3 linked regions of the Stegostoma tigrinum genome follow. The protein of the gene in region 2 purifies or fractionates together with the protein of the main gene of each other region. This does not show direct contact. Links are inferred from orthologs where the notes say so. Each region holds a gene or a part of one and is shown on either strand. Other genes may lie near its edges.

Region 1 (10,491 bases), on a different chromosome or scaffold from region 2:
AGGGCCTGTACTGTGCTGTACTTTTCTATGTTCTATGTTCCACTATTTCTTCCTTGATTATAGATTTAAGCATTTCTCCCACCACAGTTAAGCTCATGGACCTATAGTTATCTACCTTTTGTCTACTTCTGTTTTTTAAACAGTGGTGTTATATTTGCTGTTCTCAAATCTGCTGGAACTGTTCCAGAGTCCAGCGAAGTTTGGTTAAAAAGTGTATTTGCTATTTCCCCCACCATCTCTTTTCCTACACTGGCATGCACTACCTCAGGGCCAGGCAACTTGCCTTCTTGTTTACGTCTTTTGGTGAATTACAACATACAATTGGCAAATAATAACGTTAATCTGAAAACTGGGTGGTACAGTGGATTGCATTGCTTCATCATGGCACTAGGGACCCGGGTTCGATTCCACCCTCTGGCAACTGTCTGAGTGGAGTATGTACATTCTCCCTGAGTCTGTGTAGGTTTTTTCCAAGTGCTCAGGTTTCCTCCCACAGTCCAAAGCTGTGCAAGTTAGGTGGATTAGGCTTCGGAAATGCAGGGTTACTGGGATAGAGTAAGGGGTGGGTCTGGGTGGGATGCTCTTTGGACAGCTGATGTGGATTCAATGGGCTGAATGGCCTGCTTCCATACTGTAGGAATTCTCAAAGCAAATAGGGAAAACCTTTTTCAGAGCACGATAGTGGGCCAATGAAACTAGATATTTTTGGATAGATTGAATTTTAATTTAGATATCTTTTCCTGTTTAGGGAGTGGAATAATGAATTTTCTCCAGCATTAATTTGTATAGTGTTTGTGTATACGGGACCAGTTTATGTCCAGATGAGTCAGAAAAACTGAAGATAGAATATCTTTTTTGGCTCAGTATCAGTATTTGTCCAATTGTGCTTTCGTGAAGTGCCTTGGGAGTTTTTATTATGCTCACTGTGATATAAATGCAATGTCTTGCTGACCATCTAGTTTCTATATTTTTACCACAAGCCATACTTTCAGTCATCATTCAGCAGATTATGGTTCATTTCCAGCTTTACTATGCAAGGTGGAGAGTCATCTGAATTGTAGTCACGGCTGAATTAAATCAGCTATTAAGTTATTCATATTGGGTTTTTTTAAAGTTTTGTTTGAGACATTTTTACAGTCTGATTCATTTAAATGAATAAATACTTAAGGTTTACTCATTTTATTCACGTACAATGTGACCAATAATAGACCCCTTAACATTGATAACAATGAAAGAGAACATGAAGTTTCAATTAAGGGAAATTGTATCACAGTGAATAGTTTAACATCACGTAGAGAGATATGATTTACATTTGGGGATATTTAATCTTCCACTCACCTTAGTTCAATGATCCATTCAAAATGTGCACTTTCATGGGCCACCAGTCACATTCCAGTAAGTTGCTTAACCTGCTATTTTGTCAGTGTGTGCATGTGCTGAATCTTGCTCAACCATTTGAGCGTGGAATGCAAGCTAATAACGTCATGTCTATCCTCCTCCAATGCCCACCCACTCGCCTTACGAAGCAGAGATCCTTGGATTTAATTTTGAGTTTTACCTTCCAGCCAAGGAATGTTTGACTGCCTGTCTCATTACTCTTCTTACTGGCTAGTCATGATAACACTGGATTGCCTTGGTGTCTTCATCAACTTTATAAAAATTAGCAAAGGGTCACAGGAGATAAACTTCCAAATTCTAAAAAGGAAACAACAACCTAATAGACTAAGTCATAATATTGCGACCTATGTCAACTTACCGTTTAGTTACTCCAGACCTAGCTTTCACAACATTTCAATGGAGCTGTCAGAACCATGTTCCTTCACGTCTACAGCTACATCAATTCCTGAGTAGTGCTGGTGAAGGCTGCCAGTAGGTGTGAAGTTTTCTAGGCTGAAACTGCAGGAATTTGTAACAGATAATGGAAATAATAATTGTGTCAAATAGTATTTACACAACACACTAACCAAGAAAAGTCTCCAAGGGTGTTTGTTTTGTAGGATTTAGGATTTGATTAGTTTTGTCCTTCTAGAAAGCAATTGTTTTTGCCAGTTTTTGTTTTAAAATTGGGTTGATGTCTCCTATGCTTTAACAGAAAACATGTCTAGACTATTGGCTATTTCAGGTCAGTTAATAGAACATAACAAGTACTGTTATTTGAGCCGAGACAAAATATCTATTTTATTGTTTATTAATAATGACATTCTTGAAAATAGTGTTTTAACAAGAATTTGTATTTACATACTGCAATTAAGATCGTCAAATTCCTGAGGTACCTCCATAGAAACATGAGTAAAATTTGAGACCAATCACTGGAAATTTTAGGATGGTCAAAAATGTAGGTTTTAAGGAATGCTTTAAAGGAAAAAAAAATTAAGGAAGGAATTCTAGGGTGATGGTAACTCAGAAATTATGGATATGTTTAGAAGGTCAAGTTTGAAAAGTGCAGGTACCTTAGACAGTCATAGAGTTGGAAGAGATGACACAGAGAGGGAGAGGTGAGGCCGTGGAGTTATTTGAAAACAAGGATGAAATATTTTAAATTAAGGAATTGCTTAAATCTGAAACAACTTTGGTCAGTGAGCACAGTGGTGATGGATGAACAGGATTTAGTCTGAGCTTAGACACCGGCAGCAGAGATTTGGGTGATTTCAAGCTTACTGAGGGTAATAAGAAGCTGCCCAGGAATGCATTTGAATAATTATAGATGTTATACAGTTGGTTAGAAAGGATTTCAGCAGCAGATGATTTAAGGGATGTTAACCAATGATGTTGCAATGTGGAAGCAAGCACACTTAGTGATTGGGCAGATAGGTAGTTGGAAACTCACCTTGGATTGATGCTACATTGCAAAGAGTCGGGTTCAGCTTCTGAGGGTTGCCATGGAGACTGAATCAGTGGCTAGGAAATGGAGCATGGAATGTGTGTGCGGTTGGTGTGGGGATCTGAATGTAATGATTTTGGTCATCCTGATATAGAATTTGAGGAAATGTCTGCTCATTTCCTGAGAAGAAATTTCTGTTGGATCAACAATCTGATCATTTAGAGAGTGTGGAGGATTGAGAAATGTGAGTAGTTTATCATCAGTATATACGTGGAAATCGAGAGTGTTTCCTGATCATGTCACTGAGGAGAGACGTAGAGGAGAAATAGGTAGGGGTCAAAGGTAACAGTTCAAAAGAAGATGGTTATTGTCAGGTTAAAATTAAATAGATGAGGATGAAACTGGGAAAGTTTTCTATTAAAGTGAGCCAACAGTGAAGAGGCATTGGAAGAACTTCTTATGGTCATTCAAAATTATAGGGTGCAGACAAATTTAGAAGAATAAAAATATATTTTACTGTCACTCACAAATAAGATGTCATTTATAACTTTGAGATGAACTATTTCAATTAGGCAGCCATAGAAACATAATTTGGGTGGATTCAAATATGAAGTTTTGAGAAATATGAATACAGATTAATTGACAAAAGAATGTTAGAGGATCTTGGAAATATAGTTTGAAAATGGAGTGGCAGTTTGTAAGGATGAAGTTCAGGAATGAAGGATTGTTTTTAGGTCAGGTAGAATAGTACCTGAGAAGACAGAGCCATTAATAAAGTCAACTAACATGGAATCATAGAAAGGAAGTTGGTCAACAGTTTAGTGGAAAAGTGACCAGGAAGTAGGAGGTGGGAATAATGGACAAGATGAACTTATAAGGGCAGTTGGGGATATAGTATCAGTCATTTGTGGCTTAGTGTGTAGTATTGTCATCCTCTGAATCAGGCATTATGATTTCAAGTCCTGCTGCAGGACTTAAGCACAAAAATCAAGTACTAAACTGTCAGAGATGCCCTTCACAGATTTCTCAGAACAATCGCATGGCAGTGAAGATGTTAATCATGGTTTCCCTGCTAATACTTAGTCACGAATTAACTTAAGAACATTCGTTATCAAATCGCTGTTTGTGGCAGACTGCTGTGCACAAATAGGCAGTCATAGTTTCTAAATTCCAAAACTACACAAGTAACTAATTTGTTGTAAAGTACTTTGAGACAGCCTGAGAATTTGAAATCGTAAAAGTGTTGTCAGAGGTGCAATTGATGGATGCAAGCCGGAGGGGATTAAGATAGTTTGCAGTGAACAAGAGGAGCTGTTGTTTATGTTTATTTATTAGAATTATCCTGGTGAAATAAGCAGTTTTGGCTTAGGAGAGCAAGATCTAGCAGCAGCAGCATCATTCAGGTAAGATCTCACAATGAATACCTAAACTAGTTGTCTGCCATGTCTACTCAAGTCTGTTACCCTTTGCTCATCGCCGTTAAGTAGTAGGGTGAGGCTCATGCCGCTAATGGCAATTGTAGAATATCAAGCCTGGAGGTGTAGGTGCAGTTGACTTGTTTTAATTGAAGAACAGAGGCTAAGTAGTGGGATTTTGAAAGCACAGCTGTTGAGTGTAAATTGAAGAAGCTTTCTGTGAGTATATACAAGAGGCAGGAACGTTGGAAATGGGATGCAAGTGGAGAGCAATACAAACAAGTAACTGGCATGAGAATATTGAGGCCGTGTAAGATTAATTGCAAGATCAATGGATGGGTGCAAATGTGGTTTGGGGAGTTTACATGGAGGGAAATGTTAAGCTAAGACGGCAATGAACTCAGAAGGCAAATTTAACCGGAATGGAGAATTTCAAAACGTGATTCAAAAGTCATTGTTTAATCACGACTAAAAAAAAACTCTCAGATAGAAGTCTGAACATTAATCGCTTGGAAAACTACTTTGCAAACATTAGCGTCATATCATTCTATATCTAACATGTCTAACTTCAAAGAACATCTTTTCCACCCACGTATTTCAACTATTGTCAGTATTTTTGTGCGTTGGCAACGCAATCTTGTCTGCGCTCAGCCTCCTACATCAAGACCCATCTTCAGTGTTAAGGATGGCAGGAAGGGGAGGAAACCTCCAGAGACACGTGTTGCGACGGGTATTAAACGTAAAATAAGCGGATACGAGTTGTAGAATATGTGTAGAGTGTTGTAGAATTCTAGAACTCCCGGGCGAAGGTTCCGGCATCCCAGGCTAAAGTTCTGGAATCACGGCCCAGCTCTCATGACCAATCGCGTGCTGCACTGAATTGAACTTGCAACCTCTCAACCCAGGCGCCACAACTCCATCAACTGTTAAGGTCGGCGCCGGGCGATTCCGAGAACTACCGAAGAGCGTCGGTTGTTTCCGTAACCGGCCCACTATCTGTGCTGGAATGCATCGAAATCCAAAACCCGATGCGTAAAAATACCTCGTACCATTTTTAAATATTGGTGCAATTTCAGAACTCAACTACTGGTTGGGCCGCATTTTTTTTTGCGTTTCGTGGTTGCGACTTTACCCAAAAATCATCTACTTCCGCACGGGCCTGGAACGCAAGATCCAAGATGGCGGCGCCTGGCAATGAAGAGGAGGAACTAACGCAAGAACAAACAGAGAAACTGTTGCAGTTTCAGGTAAATTCATCAAACTTAACAGAATTCCATAGAGGGCGACGTGAGTCGTCATTCTCAGGTACTTTTTAATTCGTTAATTGAATTAATTTAGTCCTGCTGAAGGGCTGAAGCTTCTGCACCTGTGGCATTTTCTGTATTCACAACATTTTCTGGTAACCCTCCATCTGGCATAATTCACTTAGAGCAAGGAAAAAAAACTGTCAACTACAATTCCATTTACAAAATTCTAAACAGTTAAAACCCTAATAGTGTTAAAAATTGAATTAGCTGGATCTATATTTTATGCTGAATAAACATTTGGTGATTATCTTAACTGAAACCATTTTAACTTTAACAAAAAGAGATATTGCTGGAAAACTCCAGCTGGCCTGACAGCAGCTGTGGAGCATTTGGAACATTTTAACTTTTATCCTTTTTGCTTTTGAAGCAATGTGACTGTGTCGTGAAATGTTCACTTATGAAATAAGCTTGTGTTTTGCAGGACTGATGTATGCTAAGCTTAGTGTAGAGTATTTAATTTGTGATTTTATTAAGTGTGTGGCAAACTATCTGGAACTTGTTAAAACTTTGTAAATGTTAGGGGTCTGTGAAATTCTATCCCTTGGAAAAGAAGAACATTACATTAAATGAAACAATAACTTAAGAATTACATCAATTAGTTGAAAGTTGAAAAGGCTGAACTCATCTTAATGAGCAAGTATTTCTCTGAATTTTCAACAATTTTTTAAAAGATTTTCAAGCCAGACACTGTAACCGTATGGTTTTACATTTGTATCCTGTATGTGTAGTTCAGGTGATATATAAAGTCTTGCATTAGATCTGATATTGCAAAAGGTGAGATTCTTGTACTGCCAGATAAGCATTTTGCAAGGCAAGAATGGATGAAATTGAATGCATCGCTAGCTATCAGGAAGTTTCCTCAAATTGTTTGTTCTTGCTTCAGCCACGAGATAGGTCATAGAGTGGTTGCAGCACAGTCTCATACCTTCTTTGAAAGAGTGGGTGGTGTTGTTGAGTGGAGGAAGAGACAGAGAATGAAATGACAAATCAGAATTTTTTTGTAGAGATAGTAGGAACTGCTGATGCTGGAGAATCTGAGATAACATGGTGTAGAGCTGGATGAACACAGCAGGCCAAGCAGGAAAGCTGACGTTTCAGGTCTGCATCCTTCTTCAGAAATGGGGGAGGGGAAGGGGTTTCCGAAATGAATAGGGAGAGAGGGGGAGGCGGATAGAAGATGGATGAAGGAGAAAATAGGTGGAGAGGAGATAGACAGGTCAAAGGGGTGGGTTTGGAGCCAGTGAAGGTGAATGTAGGTGGGGAGTTAGGGGATGGGTTGGTCCAGGGAGGACAGACAGGTCAAGGAGGCAGGATGAGGTTAGTGGGTAGGAGATGGGGGTGGGCCTTGAGATGGGAGGAATGGCTAGCGAGGTGGGGAGTAGCTAGGCTGGTTTTGGGATGCAGTCGGGGGAGGGTGATTTTGAAGCTTGTGCAGTCCACATTCATACCCTTAGCCTCCAGGGTTCGCAAAATTTTTTGTGTTGGCCCTAAGGTACAAATTACATTTTAAGTTGTAGAGGCAATTTAGTAACAACTTGATGGATGGATATTACAAATCCCCTTAGAATCAGTCATAGAGTTGTCCAGCCTGGAAACTTTTTCAAACAGGAACTTGTAGGACTTGAACCGTGATATATTGGCCCAGAGGTAAGACACTACCACTTCACCGTAGGAACTCTCAAGTTGTTTGTATAGGAACATTGATGTAGAAAAATGCCCCAAGGCACTGAACGACAATTTTTTTTTACAACATGGATAACTGCAGGGGAGACATGTGGAAGAGGGGTTCGTGACCAAAAACTTGGTCGAAAACTTAATTTTGAAGGAGGAGGAAACCCAAGCGGACTTATGTAGGAATTTTAGATGTTAGGGGCTTGACAGCTAAAAGAATGATCCTAGTGGTGGAACAATTAAAAGTGGACATGCAATAGGCTAAAACCTCGATTGTGGAAATCTTGGATGCTTGTGTGAATGGAAAAGCTTATGGAGATGGGGTGAGATGAGACCATGGAGGGTTTTTAAAGCAAGGGTTTATTTTTAACATGGTTAAGCTGTTGCTGATGTACTCTGCTGCTTTCTGCAACCAAAATATTGATAGGCAGTCTAGCTTTGGATGAGATTATTAGGGTGGAACAGAGGTGTCCATCAAGAGGAACATTGTCTTAGCTTGACTATATCTCAAGTACAGATGAGAGTCATCTGCATATTTACTTGAAGCAGACGTGGATGTGTATATCATCTTGGGAAATGGAATGGCTATGTGATAGAAAACTCATTGGAGTCAAACACAATTGCAAAGTTGTGCATAATCTTCCTCTATTTTCAAATTTGGCAGGTACGGAGATGGAAAAGGTTGTTGCAGAAGAAAGATTCTGGTGGTAACAAACTTCAGTGATCGCAATACTTAGGCATGGGAAATACCTGCTTGTTCAGTACTGAATGTTAGCTGATTGAATCAATTATCGCTGAACTGCCACACTCAATGTTTAATTAGAAACGTCATTTTGAGTTAAAAACTGAAAGAACTGCAGATCCTGTAAGTCAGGAATGAAAACAGAAGACCTCTGTTCAGGCTCTATCCTATCATTTACTCCCTATCCCATTCCCCTTCCTATTTTCTGTATATAAACCAACATTTTTCCAGCTACCATCGGTTCTGAGGATAGTCACTGGATCCGAAACATTACCTCTGTTTTTTTTTTCTTCACAGATGCTGCCAGACTGCTGAGCTTTTCCAGCAACTTCAGTTTTTGTATGTCATTTTGAATATTATTTGAATACTTAAGTATTTAAACCAGCTCCTCAACTGATCTCTAAACATGAGTTTTTGGTGAAGGCTCAAAACGTGAAAAGATACATCTAACGACCCATTAAAAACAATAAAATGTTAGTTGCCTGAAGCATCAAATAATATAAATGGATATTTAAATTTAATAGTTCAATGTTAACATGTCTGTACTGTTTTAATTAAAATACTTTTCTTGTGATATTTCTCACCATAGGACTTAACAGGTATCGACTCAATGGACCAATGTCGCCGTACACTTGAGCAACATCATTGGAACATTGAGGTACAAAGGAAGCAAACAAAATTGTATACAAAATATTACAGTGGGTTTTGGCGTTGATTCGGAAATGACTTTCTACGTGCTATCTCCTATTTAAGGAATGTTTCTGATATTTCACTCAATTTGACTGTTCTCCTTGTTTAGATATATTACTAAGAGCCGTGGTGAGCCCTAACAGTTTGTGATTGGTCACTTTGTATAAATAATATGCACTATGATTTAAAACTTAACCTGTTTTATGGATTTAGTTTTGTTTATTTAAATTATTCTCGATGTTCAATTTTTCTCATCCATTTCTATTTTTATCTTCTAGGCAGCTGTTCAGGATAGGTTAAATGAACAAGAAGGCGTTCCCAGTGTCTTCAACCCACCTTCCTCTCGCCCACTTCAAGTTCACACAGCAGATCACAGAGTCTATAGTTATGTAGTTTCAAGACCTCAGCCTAGGGTGAGGCCATATTAGTTATTTTATTCATTGTTTTCACTTTAAAATTTTATCAAAAATAAGTCATCAAATCATATTTTGCATTATTTATTATTAAATTTGATTTTTGTATTTGATATAATATGCTCATTTGTAACTCATTATTAGAAAATGGTTGAGAATTCCCCAACTGAAATTACATTGAATCTTGATTATGATTGACATTATATCAATAACTCATTTTATTCCTTGCTTATTTAAAATAGATTGCTGGTAGGGCAAGATAAATCATTAATCATAGTTTTAAGAGGTAGCTCATCAATACTTAGTGACCTCATTCATAAAATCAGTTTATGTACTCATTGTATTGTACCCTCTGTCCTTCAAGTATCCAATATAAGTTTGTATTTTGTGACCTGGTGGTAGTATGGTCAAGCCATTGGTGAGGTTTGCCTATGTACAATATAAAACTATTCTAAATTTGTTTGTTTTAATAAGAGCAAAAACCATTGGGTTTGTTCAATTTTTGTAATGGAGTGATTAACAGTAATATCTGATTTTTACAGGGTCTCTTAGGATGGAGTTATTACTTGATAATGCTTCCTTTCCGATTCACCTATTACACGCTGCTGGACATTTTTAGGTGAGATACTGAAAAGTTTCACAAAGCATCATGTTAACAAAAAAAAAATCCTCAATCTAAACTCTCTTTTTGAATAGATTTGCTATAAGGTTTATACGACCAGATCCTAGGAGTCGTGTTACTGATCCTGTTGGGGATGTAGTATCATTTATTCAGAATTTTGAGGAACAGTATGGAAGGATCCATCCAGTCTTTTATCAAGGAACCTACAGTCAGGTTTGTACAAAACTACCTTTACAGTTATTTTAGGTTTACAATTCATGCTGTTTTACTGCTTGATTTGAATGTTATCTTCCTGTGCACTCCTAACCCCCTCAAAATAAGTTGCAAATTGTTTCTTCTCTTCTAAAGCCAGTAATCAAATTGATGTGTAGTTTTGCAAGAAACCATTAATATAGTTCCCACTATTCATGCTTTATTTGGACTCCATTCAAGAAGCTGTTTACTATTTGCAAGCTTGCACTTCACATGGGCAGACAATTAGCCTATGCTACCGGTTATGAGGCAATTGCTTATCTATCCTATATTGTGGGTCCTTGTATTGTTGGAACATTAACCAGATACGTTGATGTAAACTTCAAACATATAGCTCCCGCCAAAAACTACAAATTCACTTCAATGTTACAAATAAAATTATATAGAAACAAAAATAAATTGGATAAACACAGCTAAACTTGGTACCTTTCCTTCCAGTGTCTACTTACTTTTTAGGCAGGGTTTGTATTTTTTTTTTGCTACCTCCAATGCCTGAGTGTTGTGAACAGAAGCTTAGTTATAAATAACTTTATTACACTTACTATTTTACCTAGCTAA
Region 2 (11,058 bases):
AAGGGGCAGGCACAGCTCAAGCCCATGCATGGCCAGCCATTTGATTTCTCCTACTTCCTAAAAACTAAACGAAAAATTGTTGCGGGTGAGGGCCAGTACCATCAAGCGAATGAGAGTGTTGGTGAAGGGGGACTGGTTGGGCCTATGGGAGAGGAAGAAGTGGATGGCTTTTAGGCCATCCCTGTTGGGGATACAGGTATACAGGGAATGAACGTCCATGGTGAAGATGATGAGTTAGGAGCCGGAGAATTGAAGTTTTGGAAGAGGTGGAGGGCGTGGATTGTGTCCCGAACATAGGCAGGGAATTCTTGGACCAAAGGGGAAAGAACAGACTCGAGGTAGGAGGAGATGAACTCGGTGGGGCAGGAACAGGCATAGAGACAATTGGTCGACTGCGGCAGCAGGGTTAATGGATTTTGGGTAGGAGACAGAAATGGGAGGGGAGGGTTTGGGGAACTATTTCCTGCCCAGAATGCCTGTATCCTCCACAAAGACGGCCAAAAAGCCTCCCGATTTTTCCTCTCCCATAGGCCCAACCAGTCCCCCTCCAACGGCACACTCATTAGCCTGGCAGAACTGGTCCTCTCACACAACAATTTTTTCTTTGATTCCTCCTATTTCGTACAAACCAAAGGGGTGGCCACAGGCACCTGCACGGACCCGAGCTACATCTGCCTCTTTGTCGGATTCTTTGTCGCTACACTGGTGACTGTATCGGTGCTGTCTCATGCTCCAGCGAGGAGCTTGAACAGTTCACCAACACTTGCCACCACTGCCACAAATTCACTTGAACTGTTTTTGACACCTCCCTCCCCTTCCTGGACCTCTCCATCTCGATATCTGGTAAGTGGGTCACCACTGACATCCATTTCAAACCGATTGACTCAGACAATTACCTCGACTACACCTCCTCTCACTCACCCTTCTCATAAATACTACTCCACACTTAATTCATCTGCCTCCACTGCATCTGCTCTCAGGGTGAGGCATTCTACTCTACTACTTCCCAGATGTCCTCCTATTTTAGGGACTGTAGGTTACCCTTTTCTGTTATTAAGGGTATCGTCAACCAAATCAACCCCATTTCCTGCGCGTCTATCCTCAAACCCTCTCCCCTCAACTACACTAAGGATAGAGTCCCCTTAGTCTGCACATACCACCTCACCAACTTCCGAACAGAATGTATCATCATCCAACATTTCTCTCTCCTACAATCAGACCCCACCAAATAGATACTTCCCTCCCAACCCCTGTCCACTTTCCGTAGAAACTATTCATTACATAACTCCGTCAGCTCCACACTCCCCACCTGGTACTTTTCCCTGCAACTGCAGGAGGGGTTACACCTGCGCCTACACCTCCCCTCTCAACTCCATCCAAATTCCCAAACAATCCTTCTAAATCCAGCAGAGATTCAACTGCATTTCATCTCACCTCATCTAGTGTATCTGTTGCTCCCGATGTGGTCTCCGCTATATTGAAAGACCAAACCAGACTCGAGAACCGTTTTGCGGAGACCTGCTCTCTGCACACACCAACCAACCTGTCCTTCCAGTTGCCATATACTTTAAACTGGCCCCCCTGCTCCCCTGGTCACATGTCCATCCTTGGCCTCCTCCAATGTCAGAGTGAGGCCAAACATAAACTTGAGGAACAACACCCGATATTTCACCTTGGCAGCTTACAGCCAGAAGGCCCGAATATTGACTTCACCAGCTTCAAAATTTCTCTGACCACCCCCGCCAAGTCTGTCCATATTTTGACTCACCTATCTGAAAAAGGGGAGAACTTAATATCCAACTTATAAGCATTCAAAATAGCTGTAACCCAACTTAATATTTAAAGGTTCAGTATGATTTGAAATGCCTTCTCAAGATAGCTTTTGGCTCCCTCATTTGTAATCTGCAAATTATGGTTACAGTCAAAATGAAGTTTTCACTTTAATGTTGAAACTTAGAATCATGACAACACAAGAAACAACTATTCCGCAAATCAAGTCCATTGGCACTGCCCTATCCTCAGAGCCAAGCAAGTTTACCTTGATGAAAAGATTTGCCTCCACTACCACCAGTCTTTTAAAGAGTAAATCCTAAATCATTGCCACTTATTGTGTTAACAAATCATTCTTCCCATTCCAACCATTTGCTAATCCAAAACTTTTAATCCGTACTGACTTTTTAAAAATGACAACTAATGCAAATCGCTTGTGTATGTCAAAAATGTCAGTCTTGTCCATCTGATATAGTAGGGACCGCAGATGCTGAAGAATTTCAGATAACAAGGTGTACAGCTGGATGAACACAGCAGGCCAAGAAGCATCAAAAGAGCAGAAAGAAGGGTCTAGGCCCGAAACGTCAGCCTTCCTGCTCTTCTGATGCTGCTTGGCCTGCTGCATTCATCCAGCTCTACACCTTGTTATCTCAGTCTTGTCCAGCTGTCAGATTTCTCCTGAACCTCTGGTTCCAGGATTGTTCTCCCTGGAGCAATTCAGTGAATCTTGTCTACACCATCACAAGGACCATCATTTCCTACAACTTGGCACAATGCTGCAGTTGTGGCATATACTGCTTCTTCCTATTCTTTTGACCAAAATGTATCACCTCTCACTTCTCTGCAATGAATTCTATCTGCAATTTGCTACCCATTTTGCTTTACCATCTTACAGTTCATTGGTATCATCCTGTATGTTTACCGCAGGTCCACATGTAACACAATCAGCAAATTCTGGAATTTTTTCCTACATTGTATTTCTGAATGACTTGGATAGAGCAATGCTACCAGCATTGACCCTTAAGAGTTACATATCTTAAATGAATCAAGAGCTCACATCACTCAACACTCCATCCCTTCATTCCCAGGGTTACATACGAGCTCAAAGTTATTTCATGGGTTTCCTCATCACAATGCAAAAACCCAAGAACACAAATAGGAGTACGTGTTATGGCCTTTCCAGTCTGTTTTGTCATTCAGTATGATCATTGCTGATCCAATCACAACTTTAACTCCATTTTCCGACTGTTGCCCAACACTTCAAACTCACCTGTAGTTCAGGAACCTTCTACAACACTCAAACAGAATTGTGAAGAGGTATGGCTTAATCTCCCTAATCGTATGATCCTAATCTTTCATACTACATTTCTTTTATTTCTCCAAATATTCAGTTCTCTATCCGAAATGCTTCAACTCAATTCGTAGAATATTTGAAAAGCTAGACACACCTCCGAGGGCACCTCCTGAAACTTAGAAGGAAACGCACTGGATCCGAATTGAAGGAATAAAATGGGTCTTCCTTCAGTTTTCGCTAGAAGAAAGATGGTACCCAGCGAGTGTAGAAAGGCACTATTTCTGTTTCAAACGATAGTATTAGGTGAGCCCTGCATCATTCATTTTAGCAGATGACGAACGTGAAATAAATTTTACAGTAAAAATCTTTAAGAGGTTTTAGAGAACAGAAAAAAACTGCAACAGTAGATTATGAAAATTTGTTTTCATTCCAACGGAAACTCTTTTGGAGTACACATTGAAATATCTAACCGCGTCAGTGAATTCTGACCCGAACGTTTAGAAACACAAGTCAGTGACAACGGCAGCAATGCGTTTATTCCGTTATCGATTACTGTGTTCAAAAAGAACTCCCTTAACGATTTAAAAAGTGAAAGAGCTGCGGATGCTGTAAATCAGGAACAAAAACAAAGTTGCTGAAAAAGCTCAGCGGGTCTGGCAGCACCTGTGAAGGAAAATAGTTAACGTTTCGGGTCTGAATAAGACAGTTCTGAGGAAGGGTCACAGATGCTGCTAGGCCTGCTGAGCTTTTCCAGCAACTTTGTTTTTGTCCCTTAACGAATTGTTTCCTATAAGGTTTTAGAATTTTAAACCACGTCTACAAGTTGCTTGATCAGTCCAAAAGGCCAGAGAAACTCATCTTCCTTACAAAACTAAATTGACACCCCCCCATAAAAACACAACGAAGCAATACAAGCACTCACCCAAACACACCAGCCGTCTGACACCAGGTACCAGGCCATCTGTGCCGCCAGTCCATGGCCATTGGCCCAGTCGGGTCGACTAGTTAATCCCAGATCGCCTTCACCATGATTGGGAGACAAGTACTGGGCGGCGTTTGCCCCGCTTTCCCGGCCGCTGCCGCCCTCATCGATTCCGTTCGGCCGATCGCCGTTTGTGGCGTCGCTGGGGGTAGGATCGCCGGGGTCGGGGACCCGCAGGGCAGCGGGGCCCGGGGGCAGGCTGAGGTTGGAATAGGCGCTAAAGAGGCTGATCGCCAACAGCGCTGCGCTCAGGGCCGTATAGGTCCGCAAGCTTGGCCAGGGGAAACGCTCAAGGAAAAGGAGCGGCATGGCGAAGCTGATGGCTGCGCTGCCGTTACCCCAGTGACCTGGCTTGAGACGGCACCGAGATTCCCGTTAACGCTCGGGCACGCAGAAACGGTCCCGTTCTAACTCGAGCCAACGATATCGGTGACGTCAGCACACAGGATGGGGGGAGAGCGAGCCGGAAACAACCTCCGGAAGTGACGTACTGAGACGACGCCGCCGGACGGAGAACCTCCCGAAGTGACGGGGATGTCGGATCGCACTGTCATGGAGATAGTCTCCATGGTTACCGAGTCAGTTAGTCATGCCTGCAGTCATCAATAACAGCTCTTTGGAGGACGGTATTAACAAATATACATTTTGACGCATTCCTTACTAAGCTTAGAGTTACAGAATTCGCTCATAATATTCTGAAGTAGTTATTATAGGTTTAATCATCATTGCTGGTGGCATCACCCCGGTCTCGTGCCGTCTGCTGCTGAGACCCTTATCCATACTGTTGTCCTCTGTTTTTCAGTATTACAGTTTCTCTTCTCAACTATCCCGTCCTCTTCGAACTTAAACCAATCCAAACTTTCGCTGATTGCTTGCATCATGTTCTGTTTGCCCATCACCTAACATGCTCACCAATCTGGATTCAAACACAGTAGTTGCGGGAAAAGCTCAGCAGGTCTGGCCGCATCCGTGAAGAAGAAGTAGGATTTCGGGTCAGGCGACCCTTCCTCAGAACTGTTGTGGCTTACTGTGATTTTTCTTCACAAATGCTGGCAGACCTGCTTCCGCTTTTCCTGCAACTTCCGTTTTTGTTCCTGATTTACAGCCTCCACATTTCTTTCCGTTTTCACCAATCTAGATTAGCTTGTTTGAATAGTAAATCCGGAAATGGATGAAAAGCTATCTTGCCCAGCCTCAGTTTCATCTAAATCCCATCCCACCTTTAGACTTCCTTTCTACTCAGAAACTCACTTCCCATGTCTATCATTTCCCAATTCCCTGGCTGTTCGATGGCCCAAGATCTCTGTTATCACAATGGCCCAGGCTCAAATTTCTTTCTTGACTGTTGCAACCACTAACTGATGTTTTCATGAAACATTAATCAAATAACTCCCTCCAACCCAGAACATAGGAACTACAATTATAAAAAAAACCCTGTTTAATCAATGAAAGGCCATGTAAGAGCATGGAAAGAAAAGGAAGACTGGAAAGGAAATAGAAGAGAAAGGAGGTGAAGGAATTGATTTACTGAAAAATTAAGCAAGAACAATAGGCAAAAAAAGAATGAGGCAAGCAGAGAGATGGACAAGTGGATTGTTCACAATTGGTACGCTGGTAAAATGGAAGGACACTCTACTTTCACAGATGTTGCTGCCATGCTGCATATTTTCATGGACACTGGCAAAATCTAGATTATTTGGGTTAGTCCTGCATTACAGAATCTCTGTATAAGCAGTGCTGAATGCTTGGAAAAAGGTTCTACAATGTCTCCAATGTTTACTAAACATGGGAGCAGACGTAAACAAGGTTTGATGATCTGAGAAAATATGCCAGGATAAGACTTTACAGTGTTACCTTTGTTAAAGTAGATGAGCAAACTATAATAATGACAAGGTGTTTGATTATGATATGTTATATATTTAATGCTCTCATTAAAAGCACACAGCAAACTCATAGCTCCTCCAAACATACACGGGCAATAACAAAGGACATAACTTCCAGCTGCAACTGACATCATGAAATTGTGTCATAATTACATTTAAAAAGTCCGCATATAATTCTTCCAATAAATCAGGTGAAAAATACCTGTGCACAAGGAAATATGAAATAAACAATCGGGCACTTGAGTATTGCTGTCATTGCTTCTGCCAAATGTCAAAATTGCCTTTTTTTCTAACAGAACATAATCACGGTTGGAAGCATGTCCAAGAAAAGTGAATGTTAAAATGTAAAGTTCTTGGGTGCATTTGAAGAATCAAAATTCAAAATTATTTGTACTATCAGCATCGAGAGAAAGGTGAAATTAGATTAAATCAAGCTCAGGGTTAGGACCGAAATGTTCCTGTAAGCCTCTATCTAATCACTCTTTGGCAGAAAAAACATACCCTCAATATCAACTCATCATTTATTACCACAGATGTACCAGTCATGCAGCTAGCATGATAACTTACATTCTTCTTATGCTTATGTAGCTATTCGATGAGTAAAAAAGAGATCTTGAAGCTAGTGCTGCACACTAGTCTACATTACTCATTCTGATGTTTCAAACACTAACCTGTGAACCCATTACAAAGTGGGGGAACATAATTACTGAGCTTCAGTCCAAAGCACAGTGTGAGTCAATGAGGATGAATGAGCTGGTGCAGCTCATATCTTTCCTTGGTTGGACAAGTAGAAATATGTACTTCAAGGGGTCTATTTATAACAGAAAGATGAAATCTGTGCATGGTCCTATTATGGGGTTATTTGAGATCGTCCAAAAGATCCTGCAAGATCTGCCAAGAATCATGAAGAAATCAACAGATCACAGTTAAGTTGTGCAGAAAGGATACAATCCATCATGCAGTGTGCGGCAACTCCAAAACATGAACTGACCGGTCACAGTAATGGTAATCATCTGTATTACTTGTTCAAATAATCTGCCTTCTTGGAAGTGAAACCTAAATATGAAGAAAAGATAAAGCGCCTTTCACATTCAAAGGACATTCCAGATGCTACAAAAATAACAAATTAATTTCAGAATGTCAGTAGCTCTGATCATGTAGGCAAATACAACGGTGAATATTCTCATTTGCTGAATACTAAATGTTAACTATGATGGGCAAAAAATCTCCAGTTCTTCTTTCGACTGGTTCTGTAGAACATATGATGTCTGTTTAAATAGGCAATGGCCAGGCTTAAGGGATGGAGATTGGGAAAGACAATAAGATATGATAGCTTCAGTCTACCTAAGTTTAACAGGATGCAATTGCAATTCGAAATGCTGACTGTTAGACAAACAACGTGACAGGACTAAGATAGTTGATTGGAAGAACCAGGGAGAGATAGATCAAACATTTCACCGAGCAACCTGAGAAGTACATCCAATGAAAGAAGATGAAAGAGTAATGTGGCCAAGATACATTCATGAGGCAGTCTGGAGCTAATGGATAAGTAATTAAATGTGAATCTTTTGGCAATTGTCTGCTAGGCAACCATGGTTCCATTCAAAATCGTTCCCACTGCAGTGGACAACACAGGAATGGAGGAGTTACATTAGCACTTTAGTACCATTAAGGGACATTATAAGCTTACACATTCAGTGAATGCAATCCACGTAGACAAACAGAATTTTCACACAAGGTACCACAACAGCAAGTAATGAAGACAAATCAGCAGGTTAAAAATTGAAAGAACTGCAGATGCTGTAAATCAAGAACAAAAACAGAAGTTGCTGGAAAAGTTCAGCAGGTCTGGCAGCATTTGTGAAGAAAAATCACAGATAATGTTTCGGGTCCGTTGACCCTTCTGTTGCAGATAGAAACTCTATGTTGAATACCATGTGGATCTGAGTAATGACATGCCTTCAGTCATAATTATCATTATAATGTGTTGACGTTGGTCCTGGGTGCTTGCCTCAGGTCCCTGCAGTTTCACAACTTGTTTGGGTGTCCCAAAGGTTCCCAAGCGGAATATGAGTTGCTGTTCCTGCAACCTTCGGGTGGCATCATTGTGGCACCGCAGTTAGCCCATGATGGAACCCTGCAGCCCAATGATATCAATGTGGACTTCACCAGCTTCAAAATCTCCCCTTTCCCCACCGCATCCCAAAACCAGCCCAGTTCGTCCCCTCCCCCCACTGCACCACACAACCAGTCCAGCTCTTCCCCTCCACCTACTGCATCCCAAAACCAGTCCAACCTGTCTCTGCTTCCCTAACCTGCTCTTCCTCTCACCCATCCCTTCCTCCCACCCCAAGCCGCACCTCCACCTCCTACCTACTAACCTCATCCCACCTCCTTGACCTGTCCGTCTTCCCTGGACTGACCTATCCCCTCCCTACCTCCCCACCTATACTCTCCTCTCCACCTATTTTCTTTTCTCTCCATCTTGGGTCCGCTTCCCCCTCTCTATTTATTCCAGAACCCTCACCCCATCCCCCTCTCTGATGAAGGGTCTAGGCCCGAAATGTCAGCTTTTGTGCTCCTGAGATGCTGCTGGGCCTGCTGTGTTCATCCAGCCTCACATTTTGTTATCTTGGATTCTCCAGCGTCTGCAGTTCCCATTATCACTGTTAGTTTTATAGTTTTGTTTGATTCAGCACAGTTTTTTTAAAAAAAATTCTTGGAACATGTATTATATATGTTCTTTGCGATATAACCATTAAAGTTTTTTTTAAACTTCGCCTGGGGCAGGCTGTGGTTTAATATTTAACCTGCACGATATCACTGCAATAATGCAGCGTCTCTACCAGGAGTGCTTTGATCCTGCGAAAACAGCTTATTCCAGAATAAAGGGTTGCAAGTTTCGTCCGAATGTGCCAAACCCTCACTGAACAAAAGCCTGTATTTCGAATGATAAGCTACGAAAATGAGACCTATCTTACACTGCAACCTCCTCCCCAACTGCTGTGTAAACGCTGTTCCCCACACCACCCCCCACCACTTCAGCTCTGAGGAGGAGTCAGCCAGACTCGAATCATTAGCTTGCTTTATTTCCACGGATGTTGCTTGAGGCCCTGTAATCGCCAGCTTTTTTTTAAATTTTCCTTTCAGCGATTTCCCGGACATGCTTCTGTCAGCACTGACATCTCTGCCACTTACTCAGGAACAGGACAAGCCTTCTGCCCCTCAACACTGCGATACTGCCCCCTACCGAGCGTTGTTTCCCTGACCCGGAAGTGTTCCCTGACCTGGAAACGTGGGTTTCGGGTTAAAGCGCGAAGGCGGCCTTGTTGATCCTTGTGTGTGTGAGAGAGGGAGAACCCGTTCCCGACGCTGCACTGGGTCCCGTACCTTTCATCAGCTTGTTGCTATGTCTGTGGTTCCGCCGAGCCGCTCGCAGGCGGGCTGGCCCCGCGGAGTGTCTCAATATGGGAATAAGTACCTGCAGGCAAAGCCGCTAACCCTGGAGAGGACCATCAACCTGTGAGTATCCAATACACTGGATTCTGTATATACCTCTGTCGAGCTAGTTTCATGTGAACTTGAAAATAGTATATTTAAAGTTTTAAAAAAGTTGCAGATGGAATCCAATTCTTGAATACCGTGTGGATTTGAGTAATGACTTGCCTTCAGAAGTAGTTATCGTTATAGTGTATCAGAGATGGTAGGAACTGCAGGTGCTGGAGAATCTGAGATAACAAGGTGTGGAGCTGGATGAACACAGCAGGTGAAGAAGCATCAGAGGAGCAGGAAGGCTGACGTTTCGGGTCTAGACCCTTCTTTCTGCCTCTCTGATGCTGCTTGGCCTGCTGTGTTCGTCCAGCTCTACACCTTGTTATCTGTATCGTTATAATGTGTTGAGGTTGGTCCTGGATGTTCGCTTCAGGTCCCCGCAGTTTCATTTTTTTTTGGGGTGTTCCAGCGTTCAAGTACAGATTTAATATTAAGATTTTGTTCATTTTAAGTCTGTCTGACATGAACTGGTTTTTGTAGTTGTCTGATCTCGTGAATTACTTGTTGGTATCTAGCCATGTGTCTTCAGCCTAGTAACTTGAGAGCTCATGAATGGAAATAGTTTATTGGACTTACTCCAGTAAATTTAATTGGATATCAATGAAATGAGTGGAAGTTACTTTCACAAAGAGTGTGAAATGGCTGTGTTTCAGAGGATTGTTTCAAATTTATCCATGAACTTTGCAACCAATTTAGAATTCTTGAGTAAAAACAAAAATATGAAAAAACAAATTCAGGTAATACCTCTGGCCTAGAGGCCAATCTACATGTTCCGGTGAAGCTGACTTGTTTGTTATAGTGTAAAGTGGTCAAGTGTATTCTTGATGTAGTCTTGTCAAACAGCTCTAGTGGAATAGATAGGCTTTGTTAATATCAGCTATTTCTGTGGTGTTTTTGGTACTCAGGTTTCCTAGATTATGGCATTAAATTGTCTACAGGGTACCTAAGTTTACTGTAAAACAGTAAATGAGAGAGTATATGCAAATCAAGCCACTGATGCTGAAGACATTAAACTGTTACAATAAACTAAAGTTGGGCATTTGCAGGTTAATCAGCACTATCAATTTGAATTTTCAAGAGTGTAACCTTTCTTCTTCTTGAGATTTAGCCACTGCCTTGAACGTTTGTAAAACCTCTTTCTTCTTGAGACAGTGCTGTTTGCATAGGAGTTCTCAGCTTTGCATGCAGCGGTAGTGAAGAAGCTGTGCAACAGTTCAGGCCTTTTGGCCCATCATGTTGTGCTGACCTATTATCCTACTCTTGAGGTCAGGATGATGTGAGACTTCGCTCGTAGAAGTGATCCTTTGCCCTGGCTCTCCTAAGTGGTAGAAGTGGTTCTGAAGATTTAGTCAAAGGATGCATTGCTACCTTTGCATCTGATGGGTACCAAGTAAGTAATCCGCGCCATCTCAGACGATGGCTATCTGCTTTCATATTGAGGTTTTGTTCATTCCAGGCAAGTGGAACAAGGGGAGGTGATAGTCTAGTGGTACTTTTGCTGGACTGTTAATTCGGAGACCCAGATAACATTCTGGGGATCTGAGTTCAAATCCCACCATAACAGGTGGTGGAATTTG
Region 3 (10,233 bases), on a different chromosome or scaffold from region 2:
TATGCCACTGGGCACCAGCCTCCAGTCAAACAAAGTCTTCTACCATCATCCACTGTCTCCTGGCACCAAGCAAATTTTAGATCCAACTTACAAGGTTATGCTGGATCCCATCTGTTTTTCTGGTTAGTCTCCAATCCGGGACCCTGTTAAAGCCGCTGCTGACAAAATCACATCTAACTATGTTAAAATCTCAAACACTGGAGAGATTTAAACATAGAACATTTTAACACCTAAACATATGGATCTCTCATCTTCTTGAATCAGTGAATAAAGAAGTTCATCTTTATTAAACAATTCTCAGGAACTGACTTTCATGGTTTGATACCGTTTACCAGCAAAAAGCTGAATATCAAAGTTTAACTAATTTGAGGGACATTGCATATTACCAATGGGACTGAAATAGTAATTTAAAAATAATAGCTCTCCATAATGTTTCAGAAGTTTATCACCTCTGAGGGAAAGGTTTTAGAAACAGTCCTAACAATGCTTTAAAATTGCACACTGACACCAAAGATGGGACTGAGGCATGAAGTCATGTAACGAAGTGTGGAGCTGGATGAACACAGCAGGCCAAGCAGCATCTTCGGAGCACAAAAGCTGACGTTTCGGGCCTAGGCCCTTCATCAGAAAAAAAACTTTTTTGTGCTCCTAAGATGCTACCTGGCCTGCTGTGTTCATCCAGCACCACACTTTGTTATCTCGGATTCTCCAGCATCGGCAGTTCCCATTATCCATGAAGTCATGTGATTTGCATTGTACATTACAAATTAATAAGGGATGACATCCACGTTTTAAACAAAAAATGCTGTTGTGTACAGTCTGTTAAAGCTACCATTATATAAAGTCCGCTCGATCATTCCACGGGTTGAAGAAACAATGCATTGCAGGGCACAGAAAGATCATGGATGCCTCTGGTTCGATCTGTGTTATATGAGCTGATCCTCTTTGGGACCGTGCAGAGAAGGTAACGTGAGCGAGGAGAAAAGGTTTATCAAGCAGGGATCTCCTTTATGAGCTCCACCCTTTGATACGGTTTAAAAATATTGACGCTGTGTGTCGGAGCTAAGGCTGCCACTCTGAATGCACTCATTCTGGGAGTTTCGTGGCAATGGGACTATTCTGGATGTGAGTTTGTTCGCTGAGCTGGAACGTTAGTTTTCAGACGTTTCGTCATCATTCTAGGTAACATCATCAGTGAGCCTCCGACGAAGCTCACTGATGATGTTACCTAGAATGGTGACGAAACGTCTGAAAACTAACCTTCCAGCTCAGCGAACAAACTCACATCCAGCACCTCAACCTGAGCTACAAATCTTCGCAAAACTCGCTAGCACCTATGGGCGCAATACGCTAAAACTGGCCCAAAGATGGGAAACCAATGCCATCCGACAGAGTGGCTACTTGGGGAGGAGGTGGGAGTGGATCACCGTGCCACTGAAAAGGTCGAGTGGTGGAGTGGAAGATCGCAAGGACTACACTGACGCTCGCCACAGTCGAAAAGGAGAGCGATCTTCGACACCACGCTGATGCCTTCCCCAGTCGAATGGGGCGGGGGAATCTCAAGCACCGCAGGGATGCCTGCCACAGTCGAATAGGTGTGTTAGCTATAGGTGGCAGACAAGGCTGGCAGTGTTACCCGTCGGCTGTTGAGGGGTTGGGCCTTCGATGCCAGATCTTTCCCTGCGGCCGGGCTCCAATGTCGCTGATCTGCATGAGGCTGGCAACAGGTTCGGCGGCAAATTCAAACTTTATCCCACTGTCACCTCACCACATCAGCCGTAAAAATACACAAACGCCTCCAACGCCACTGGAAAAATAAAACTGAAAGGTTTTCTAGAAAACAGACAAATTAAATCAAAACCCAATTTACAAATTCAAGGAACTTCTACCAGACCCTCGAACCAAATAACTGACACGCTCGCCCTCAACATCCGGTCATGGAGGAAGTGACACCATCACGTTCGCTGACCGCGACGCATGCTGGGAATTGTAGTTCTGAAGAAACGTTAACTCAGCTTTTTCCCCCACAGATGTTGCCAGACCTGCTGAGTTTTCCCCAGCAATTTATATATATTGAAAAAAAAAGACTTCCCACAGTGTGGAAACAGGCCATTCGGCCCAACAAGTCCACACCCACGCTTACCCATCGCCCTACACTGTCCCTGTAACCCTGCATTTCTCAAGGCTAATGCACATAACCTGCACATCACTGAACACTCTGGGCAACTTAGCATGGCCAAACCACCTAACTTGCACATCTTTGGACTGTGGGAGGAAACCAGAGGATCCAGCAGAAACCCATGCAGACACAGGGAGAATGTGCAAACTCCACACAGTCGGTTGTGTAAGACTGGGATCAAATTTGGTTCTGTGGTCCCAGCAGTGAGGTAGCAGCGCTAACCACTGAGCTACCGTGCTACCTTTCTTTCTTTCTGGGAATTGTAGTTTTGGGGGTTCATTTAATAACAGAAGTTGATGGAAAGAAAAAAATATATTTTCCCAGGGCAGAAATGGCTAGCACGAGGGGTCATAGTTTTAAGCTGGTTGGTGGAAAGTATCGAGGGGATGTCAGAGGCAGGTTCTTTACGCAGAGAGTTGTGAGAGCATGGAATGCGTTGCCAGCAGCAGTTGTGGAAGCAAGGTCATTGGGGTCATTTAAGAGACTGCTGGACATGTATATGGTCACAGAAATTTGAGGGTGCATACATGAGGATCAATGGTCGGCACAACATTGTGGGCTGAAGGGCCTGTTCTGTGCTGTACTGTTCTATGTTCTATGTTCTATATTTAGAGTGTGTGCCAATGACATACTTTTTGAAGTGTAGCCCCTGCTACAATGCAGAAAATACATTCAATTTCACAAATAGTAATGAGATAATGATAAAATTGATGTTGATTATTGTTCTCTCTCCATATTTATCTCTCAACTATTTCAGAAAAGCAGCATACCTAGTCATTTTCTCATTACATCTTAATTCAAAGATCATGTCTAGTCAGGACTACAGGTTTTTGCCATGGTTCTTTGTGTAACTGAACTGGCCAATTCTGGATTTGCATAATATCTTTTGGTATTGGGGTAGGATATCTTATAGTTTAGCAAGGTGCCAGCACTTTTCTGTTTTTATGACTTGCTTTCCTTCCAGTATGTTCGTTTCAAAGATGGCTGATAAGTTTGTAGACCTTGTGTGTCTTTGTTGATGCCTCGATTTTATCTTTGCATGACTCCAACAAAATGTCTAAATCTACTTGGTGTATTCCTACATGAACCATCTCCTTTATAGTTAGTCACGGGCCAGGCACTTCCTAGTGTTGTTTGGGATATTTGATCCCTTCAAGGATGCTTTGACAACATCCCTGAAGCATTTCCCCTGCCTTCCTGGGGTGTGGCTTGATGTCTAATTTCTGAGAAGAGGACGTACTTAGGAGTTTGATGTCAAGTATATGAACATGTTTTTCCCAGCAAAGCAGTGATGTGATGATTTTGTGTTTCCTATCCCACAAAAATCCTGCTCCTAAGATGCCACTTGGCCTGCTGTGTTCATCCAGCCTCTCCAGCATCTGCAGTTCCTATTATCTCTCTACCTCAATGATTTTTAAGTGCATTGAGACATCTTGAGGCTGTGAAGGTGCTATAAAAAGCAAAAATGTTTCTGATACATAGAGTTCACAGGTTGCTTCTCCCATGTGGTCATTCAAATTAAGGTTAATGTTGTGCAAGGACTTCACAAAAACCCTGTAAATAACCAGCTGTGATTAGTGGGGTACTACAGAGATCCATACAAGGACCCCAGATATTCAGAATATATGTTCATAATTTAGTTACAGAAATAATATATATTTCAAAATTTGCTGATGACACAAAGCTGAGTGGAAGAGGAGCCATGAGCGGGATGCTGAGATGTTGCAGTGTGATTTGGAGAGGCTGAGTGAATGGACAAATACATAGTAGATGAGGCAAAATGTGGATAAGTTTGAGGTTATCCACTTTAGTAGGAAAACTAGAAATGGCTGTAAATTCAGAGGTGAATATTCAACAATGGATGTCCTAGTGCACTAGTCACTGAAAGCATGCAGGTGTTGTAAGCAATAAGGCAAACTGTACATTGGCCTTTACGGCAAAAGGATTCAAGTGCAGGAGTAAGAATGTCTTGCTGAAATTATATGGGCTATTGGTGAGGCCACACCTGGAATTTGTATGCAGCTCTGGTCTTTCTATTTGAAAGGATATTCTTGCAGCAGAGGGCGTGCAGTGAAGGTTTACAAAATTGATTCCTTAGGTGGTAGGACTGTCATATGAGGACTGAGTTGGTTAGAACCGGTGTTCAGAAAAATGAGGAGGGGATCTCATAGCAAACCTATAAAGCTCTAACAGGATTAGACATAGGAAGAATGTGGCCCATGGTAGGGGAGTTCAGAACCGCGAGTTTTTTAAGAATGAGGGATCAACCTTTTGGGACTGAGGAGAAATCACTTCACCTAGACAGCGGTAAGCCTGTGGAATTCACTGCCACAGAAAGTAGTTGACACCTAAACATTATGTTTTCAAGAAGGAGGTGGCACTTATAGCTATAAGGATTGAGAGATATGGGTCATGGGCAGGATTAGGTAATTGAGCTCAGTCATCAGACATGAGATAATGGGAACTGCTGATGCTGGAGAATCCAAGATAACAAAGTGTGGAGCTGGATGAACACAGCAGGACAAGCAGCATCTCAGGAGCACAAAAGCTGACATTTCGGGCCTAGACCCTTCATTAGAAAACCCCTTTTCTGTTATCTAGTCTTTGTTATAACTTTGTTATCTAGTCATCAGGTATGGTTCTTTTGAAAGGCGAAGCAGTCTCGAGAGGTCCAATGACCTATTCCTGCTCTTCTCTTCTGTGTGTCCGGAGATTTAAATCTCTAAAATCTTTAAGTTATGCACACAAAACCCGCTACTGAAACTTTACAAACGTGAGGGGTTTGAGGCACAAGCATAAGGCCAAACAGGCTGAATATCCTGCTGATGTGTAGAGCCAGTGTAACAATGCACATCATCCAACTGCTGGGTGACCCGGAAGCAGTGAGGTGTGGAGGCGCGTGGTGCGGCCACGTCACTGGAAACGAGTGCCGGTTTTCCCAGCAGCCCTTGGGTTGACAGTCGGTCAGAGCAGAGTGACGATTGTGGGTTTGTCGTTGTGTGTCCGGAGCGAGAAAGGTTTCGTCGGGCTGGTTTCCTTCCCTCGATCCGGCTTAGGATGGCGGACAGCGGCCTGGGCGAATGGTACCGCAGCATCCCCCTGGTTACGAGGTATTGGTTCACGGGCAGCGTGATCCTTCCTGTCCTGGAGAGGCTGAACATGGTCAGCGCCAGGACCCTGGTGCTGTGGGCCGAACCTTTCTTCAACAACTTTCAGGTAGGGTGACAACTCCATCGGATAGTGTCACTCCAGTTTAGGCTATTCTCTGCCGGGAGCTAGAGATTCTCAGACCTCTTGGGGGGTGAGGCGTGGTCGAAGGGCTCACTTTTCAACTGGATTAGTAATCTCAGATAAATCATTAAAGTATGTTATGTATACGTAGAGATTTCATAATGTTTCTAACTGTAGCCATCGGCGGAAGGATTTGCCTGCTTGTCGCTGAAGAGTCTGTCTTCATGTGATATTTGACAATTTAAGATGTTTGGAGGATAAATGACGATTCTATCCAACCCTTCGAAGGCCACCTGCACTGCTTTTAGTAATTCTGAAGAACGGTCACTGGATCTGAAACGCCAGAAACGAAATTACTGGGAAAAACTCAGCAGGTCTGGCAGCGTCTGTGGAGAGAAAACAAAGTCAGTGCTGGTCAAGAATTGGAGTTATCTGCCATCTCAAAGCTCGTAAAACTGAGTTGAAGCAAGTCATCCTGAACCCCATTGGATGGCCTGTAGAGAAGAGTACTTTTGCCATTTAAAAATAAAACCCTCTTGTTGCGTAAGGCTGGGTTTACCTGGGTGCTTAGTGACTGCAAGTCTCCCTAGTGATCTTGCTGAAGCCACCAGCCTGTGCCCCTCCTGGAATGCAAGCCTTCTGAAGCAAAGCAGCCAGCTCAACCTGCATACATGAACCACAACCTGTTCCCACCTCCATCATTTTGCAGACCCCTAGATGGTCTTTGTGTATCCCAGTTTGAGAATGCCTTAGACTTAGAGTCAAGATCAGATTCAACCCTGTTGCAGGACACTGAAGATCGCCAAATTGTAACACTTTTCCCTTGCTCCCTGTGTACATTACAGCATATAAATCCAAATTAATCTTCATTCACTCCTGAAGACCAGCTACTTTCACCAAGCATTTGGTCACCTGCCGCTGTATCAGATTTTTGTCAAACAGTCCTGTGAAGTACCTTGGGACATTTTACTACACTTTTCATTGATACATTGACATTAAAGCCCAGGGCAGATTGATGATTTTCAGTTTATAATGTGAAGTTTGAGTACAGAAGAAGAAAGAGCACTTCACGTCTTCCAGATCACTCAAAGTACTGTAAAATCTTTGTGAATTAGTTAAAATGATGTCTGTAGCAACTTAGTGTTGTATACAGAATTATTTTTAAAAGTATTAATGTGTAAGCATATTTACATTTTTATGAATATATTTATATATGTAAATATACCAGTTGTTTGAATCTGTATATTAATCAATAGGACGATAGTTTGCTATTATATATCTTGCTCTCTTCCAACACTTTGGGAAATAGTGAGCTGTATTAAATAACTGAACTCGTATACCAAAGGCCTGTGTTAATGTTTCATGGACACCGGTTCAAATCCCACATTAGCATGTGGAATTTACATTCACTTATTACATCTTGAAATTGAAAGCAAAATCTCTACAGATTAAGTGGTTTCTATGTACACAGCTATTCAATTTTTCATCTCAATTTTCTCTGCTTAAAAAAACCTTGCATTTATTTAGCATCTTTCATCACATGTCCCAAAATGCTTGACAGCTGATGAAGCACTTTTGAAGTGTAGTCACTGTTGTAATGCTGGATATGCTGTGGATAAGTTGGGATCTTGCAGCAACCACAAGCAGCAGTTGTTAAACCCCAGTGAAACTGCTTTAGTGATGCTATTTTGAGGAATAATTATTGGCTAGGACACCCGCGCAAATTCTCAGGCTGTGTTCATGAGCAACATTCTCACCAGTTGAAACAAGAAACACGTGTGTGCATAAAAGTAACTTGTAGTGCAACATTGATTAATTTCATTGTCTTGCTCTGGATGGTGCATTATTACATTATCCACTTGGTTGGAAATCTACAAACTGGTTGCCACATTTCTTACATTGCAAATGACGACACTTCAAAAATGAAGAAGTGACAGTGAGATGACATTCTAGGATTGTGATAAATGCTGTGTAAATGCAAGGCACATCTATTGGAAGAGACAAAAAGATATTTTCAGAAGGGAGAATTAAACATGGCAATGTGAACAAGAAAATCACTTTTTGTGGCAAATCGTTGTCACAAGGAGAGTTCTGGAGCAATGATTGTGTGTGTCAAAGATTTGTTGATGTCAGTTTGAATTTCTTGCTGCCTTATTAGTTTAACAATATTGTGAATATAGTCTACATTGCAAAAGAATACTTTTATTTCTTTGTGCATTTGTCAAAACGTGACAGAGGCAGCATGACAGGTTTTGTATACTCTCCTCTCCACCTATCTTCTTTTCTCTCCATCTTCGGTCCGCCTCCCCTTCTCTCACTATTTATTTCAGAATCCTCTCCCCATCCCCCTCTCTGATGAAGGGTCTAGGCCCGAAACATCAGCTTTCGTGCTCCTGAGATGGTGCTTGGCCTGCTGTGTTCATCCAGCTTCACACTTTGTTATCTTGGCTTCTCCAGCATCTGCAGTTCCCATTTTTTCTGACAGGTTTTGATTGTTGGTATTGTATGCTAGGAATAAAATTGTTTTTGATGCAAGTAGTGATCAAAATTTTGTTTGATTCTCAGTACAGATGATGTGTCTGAGGGTGATGAACAACCAATATTGTTTTTATTTACATACACAGATATGGAGGCCAATAACTGCAAGCCTGTTTTACCCAATGGGGTTCCATTATTTGATTCAGCTATACTTCCTGTATTCCTATTCCTCAAGCTTGGAAAGAGGTTGGTTTCTACTCCTGTCTTTGCGCTGCATCCATTTTGTGCATTGAACTTTTCAGAGATTTTCTTCTGAAAAAAAATGTATTTAAAAAATTAAGTGAAAGTACTAATCCAGGAGCTTGTCTAAATTCATCATTTTGATATTTTAAAAAAAATTACAAATATTGGGCACCAATGTTTTTGCTCACAAGCTGGAATAATTTTAAAGTGTAGAGATTAAACTTTAGTTTCAGAAGCATTTTAATTGCACAAACATAGGAAAGAGATACACAATCCAGTATAAGGCATTGTTGTGTTAGATAGTTTTATATGTTTGCAAAGCTATTTATCCTGATACAGCCCTTCAAATCCCTATGAACTCTAAATGCAGTATTTTCACAACCTCCAGGATGGAAATTGAAATTAGATTCTTGACGAAGATTGAAAAATCACTGATCTTAGAGTCATACAGCATAGAAATAGACCGTTCGGACCAAACTAAACTAGTCCCAACTTCCTGGCCCAGCTCTCCAAACCTTTTCTATTCATGTACTTATCCCAACGTCTTTTAAATGTTGTGATTGTACCCATATCCACCACTTACTCAGGAAGGTCATTCCATACACGAACCATCCACTGTGTAAAAAATTTTCCCTTTTTTTTAACATCTCTCTCCTGTCTCCTTAACATGTGTCCCCCAGTCTTGAAATTCCCCCATCCTAGGGAAAAGACAACTATTGATGAGGCCTGTTCCAAAATACTGTGTCCAGTTCTGGTTGCCCAGTTTTGGGAAGGATTGAGCTGGAGAGGATTCAGAGGAGATGTACTAGGATGTTGCTGTGTATAGAAGGTTTGAGTTATAAAGAAGGGGTGGATAACACTCTCTACACCTTTTTATTATTTTATAAACTTTTATAAGGTCACCTTTCAACTTCCCATGCTCCTGTGAAAAAAGTCCCAGCCTATTCAGCCTTTCTTTATAGCTCAAATCTTCCATAGCTGGCAACATTCTGGTAAATCTCTTCTGAACGCTCATCAGCTTAATATCCTTCCTATAACTGGGCACCCAGAATTGGACACAGTATTCCAGAAAAGGCCTCCGCTACGTCTTGTACAAGCTCAAAATGACTTCTTAACTCCTATACTTGAAGGACTGAACAATGAAGGCAAGTGTGCCAAATGCCTTTTTAACCACCTTTCTATACGTGACACAAATTTCAAAGAATTATGTGCCTGAACCTCTAGGTCGCTCTTCTTCAACACCAAGGAGCTACCATTAATTGCATAAGCCCCAGCTTTGTTTGATGTAATACATTGCATTTATCCAGATTGAACTTCATCTGCACTTTTTCAGCCCATTGACCCATTTGATCAAGATCCATTTGTAATCTCAGAAAACCTTCTTCACTGTCTACTATGCCACCAATTTTGGTGTCGTCTCCGAACTTACTAACCATGCCTTCTATTGTCTCATCCATATAATTTATATAAATAACAAACAAAAGAGGACCCAGAACCAATCCCTGCGGAACACTGCTGGTGACAGGCCTCCAGTCCGAAAAGCAACACTCTACCACCACTCTCTGTCTGTTGTTAAGCCAATTATGTATCCAATTGGCAAGCTCACCCTGAATCTGATGTGACCTAACTTTACTAATTAAGCTACCATGTGGAACCTTGTTGAAAGCATTACTAAAGTCTGAGTAAACAACATCTACTGCTCTGCCCTCATCAATCTTTTTGGTAGCTTCCTTAAAAAACTCAATCAAGTTCGTGAGCCATGATATTCCCTCGCACAAAGCCATGCTGACTATCTCTAATCAATTGTTGCCTCTGTAAATGTCCACAAATCCTATCTTTTATAATCACCTCCAACAATTTACCCCAACTGAAGTCAGACTCATAGGTCTGTCGTTCCACGGTTTTCTTGACAAAACCACAGAAGTTTTGCTTTGAAACTGTCATCAATTATAAAATAATGACAGACCATGGAAAAACCTCAAACAGTTTGTGTAGCGGGAAGAAAATACTGGTGAATGAAATGGGTTTTGTGTTTATTGTTGGATTTAGTCAGTTTAATTAAACTACACCAGTAACCTAAACCTGGGGAGTGAGACTGGAGC

The links. The genes of interacting proteins can lie anywhere in the genome.
Region 1: the proteins of amfra (region 2) and faf2 purify together in Homo sapiens (affinity purification with western blotting; 9 studies listed by BioGRID and IntAct, with this or other methods). This does not show direct contact. The link is inferred for Stegostoma tigrinum from reciprocal best matches to the Homo sapiens genes AMFR and FAF2.
Region 3: the proteins of amfra (region 2) and derl1 purify together in Homo sapiens (affinity purification with western blotting; 4 studies listed by BioGRID, with this or other methods). This does not show direct contact. The link is inferred for Stegostoma tigrinum from reciprocal best matches to the Homo sapiens genes AMFR and DERL1.

Annotation. Positions count from the first base shown.
Region 1 is NC_081366.1:45,947,726-45,958,216, reverse strand, and holds the start of faf2 (FAS-associated factor 2), read left to right. Parts: upstream 1-5,359; 5' UTR 5,360-5,414; coding exon 5,415-5,483; intron 5,484-8,545; coding exon 8,546-8,614; intron 8,615-8,924; coding exon 8,925-9,059; intron 9,060-9,601; coding exon 9,602-9,678; intron 9,679-9,755; coding exon 9,756-9,894; intron 9,895-10,491. UniProt on the Homo sapiens protein: Plays an important role in endoplasmic reticulum-associated degradation (ERAD) that mediates ubiquitin-dependent degradation of misfolded endoplasmic reticulum proteins.
Region 2 is NC_081369.1:10,281,945-10,293,002, reverse strand, and holds the start of amfra (autocrine motility factor receptor a), read right to left. Parts: upstream 4,522-11,058; 5' UTR 4,356-4,521; coding exon 3,987-4,355; intron 1-3,986. Other genes in the region: nudt21 (cleavage and polyadenylation specificity factor subunit 5), read left to right, coding at 9,339-9,451. UniProt on the Homo sapiens protein: E3 ubiquitin-protein ligase that mediates the polyubiquitination of lysine and cysteine residues on target proteins, such as CD3D, CYP3A4, CFTR, INSIG1, SOAT2/ACAT2 and APOB for proteasomal degradation.
Region 3 is NC_081358.1:39,217,615-39,227,847, reverse strand, and holds the start of derl1 (derlin-1), read left to right. Parts: upstream 1-5,101; 5' UTR 5,102-5,236; coding exon 5,237-5,395; intron 5,396-8,034; coding exon 8,035-8,134; intron 8,135-10,233. Other genes in the region: tbc1d31 (TBC1 domain family member 31), read right to left, coding at 1,637-1,713. UniProt on the Homo sapiens protein: Functional component of endoplasmic reticulum-associated degradation (ERAD) for misfolded lumenal proteins. Forms homotetramers which encircle a large channel traversing the endoplasmic reticulum (ER) membrane.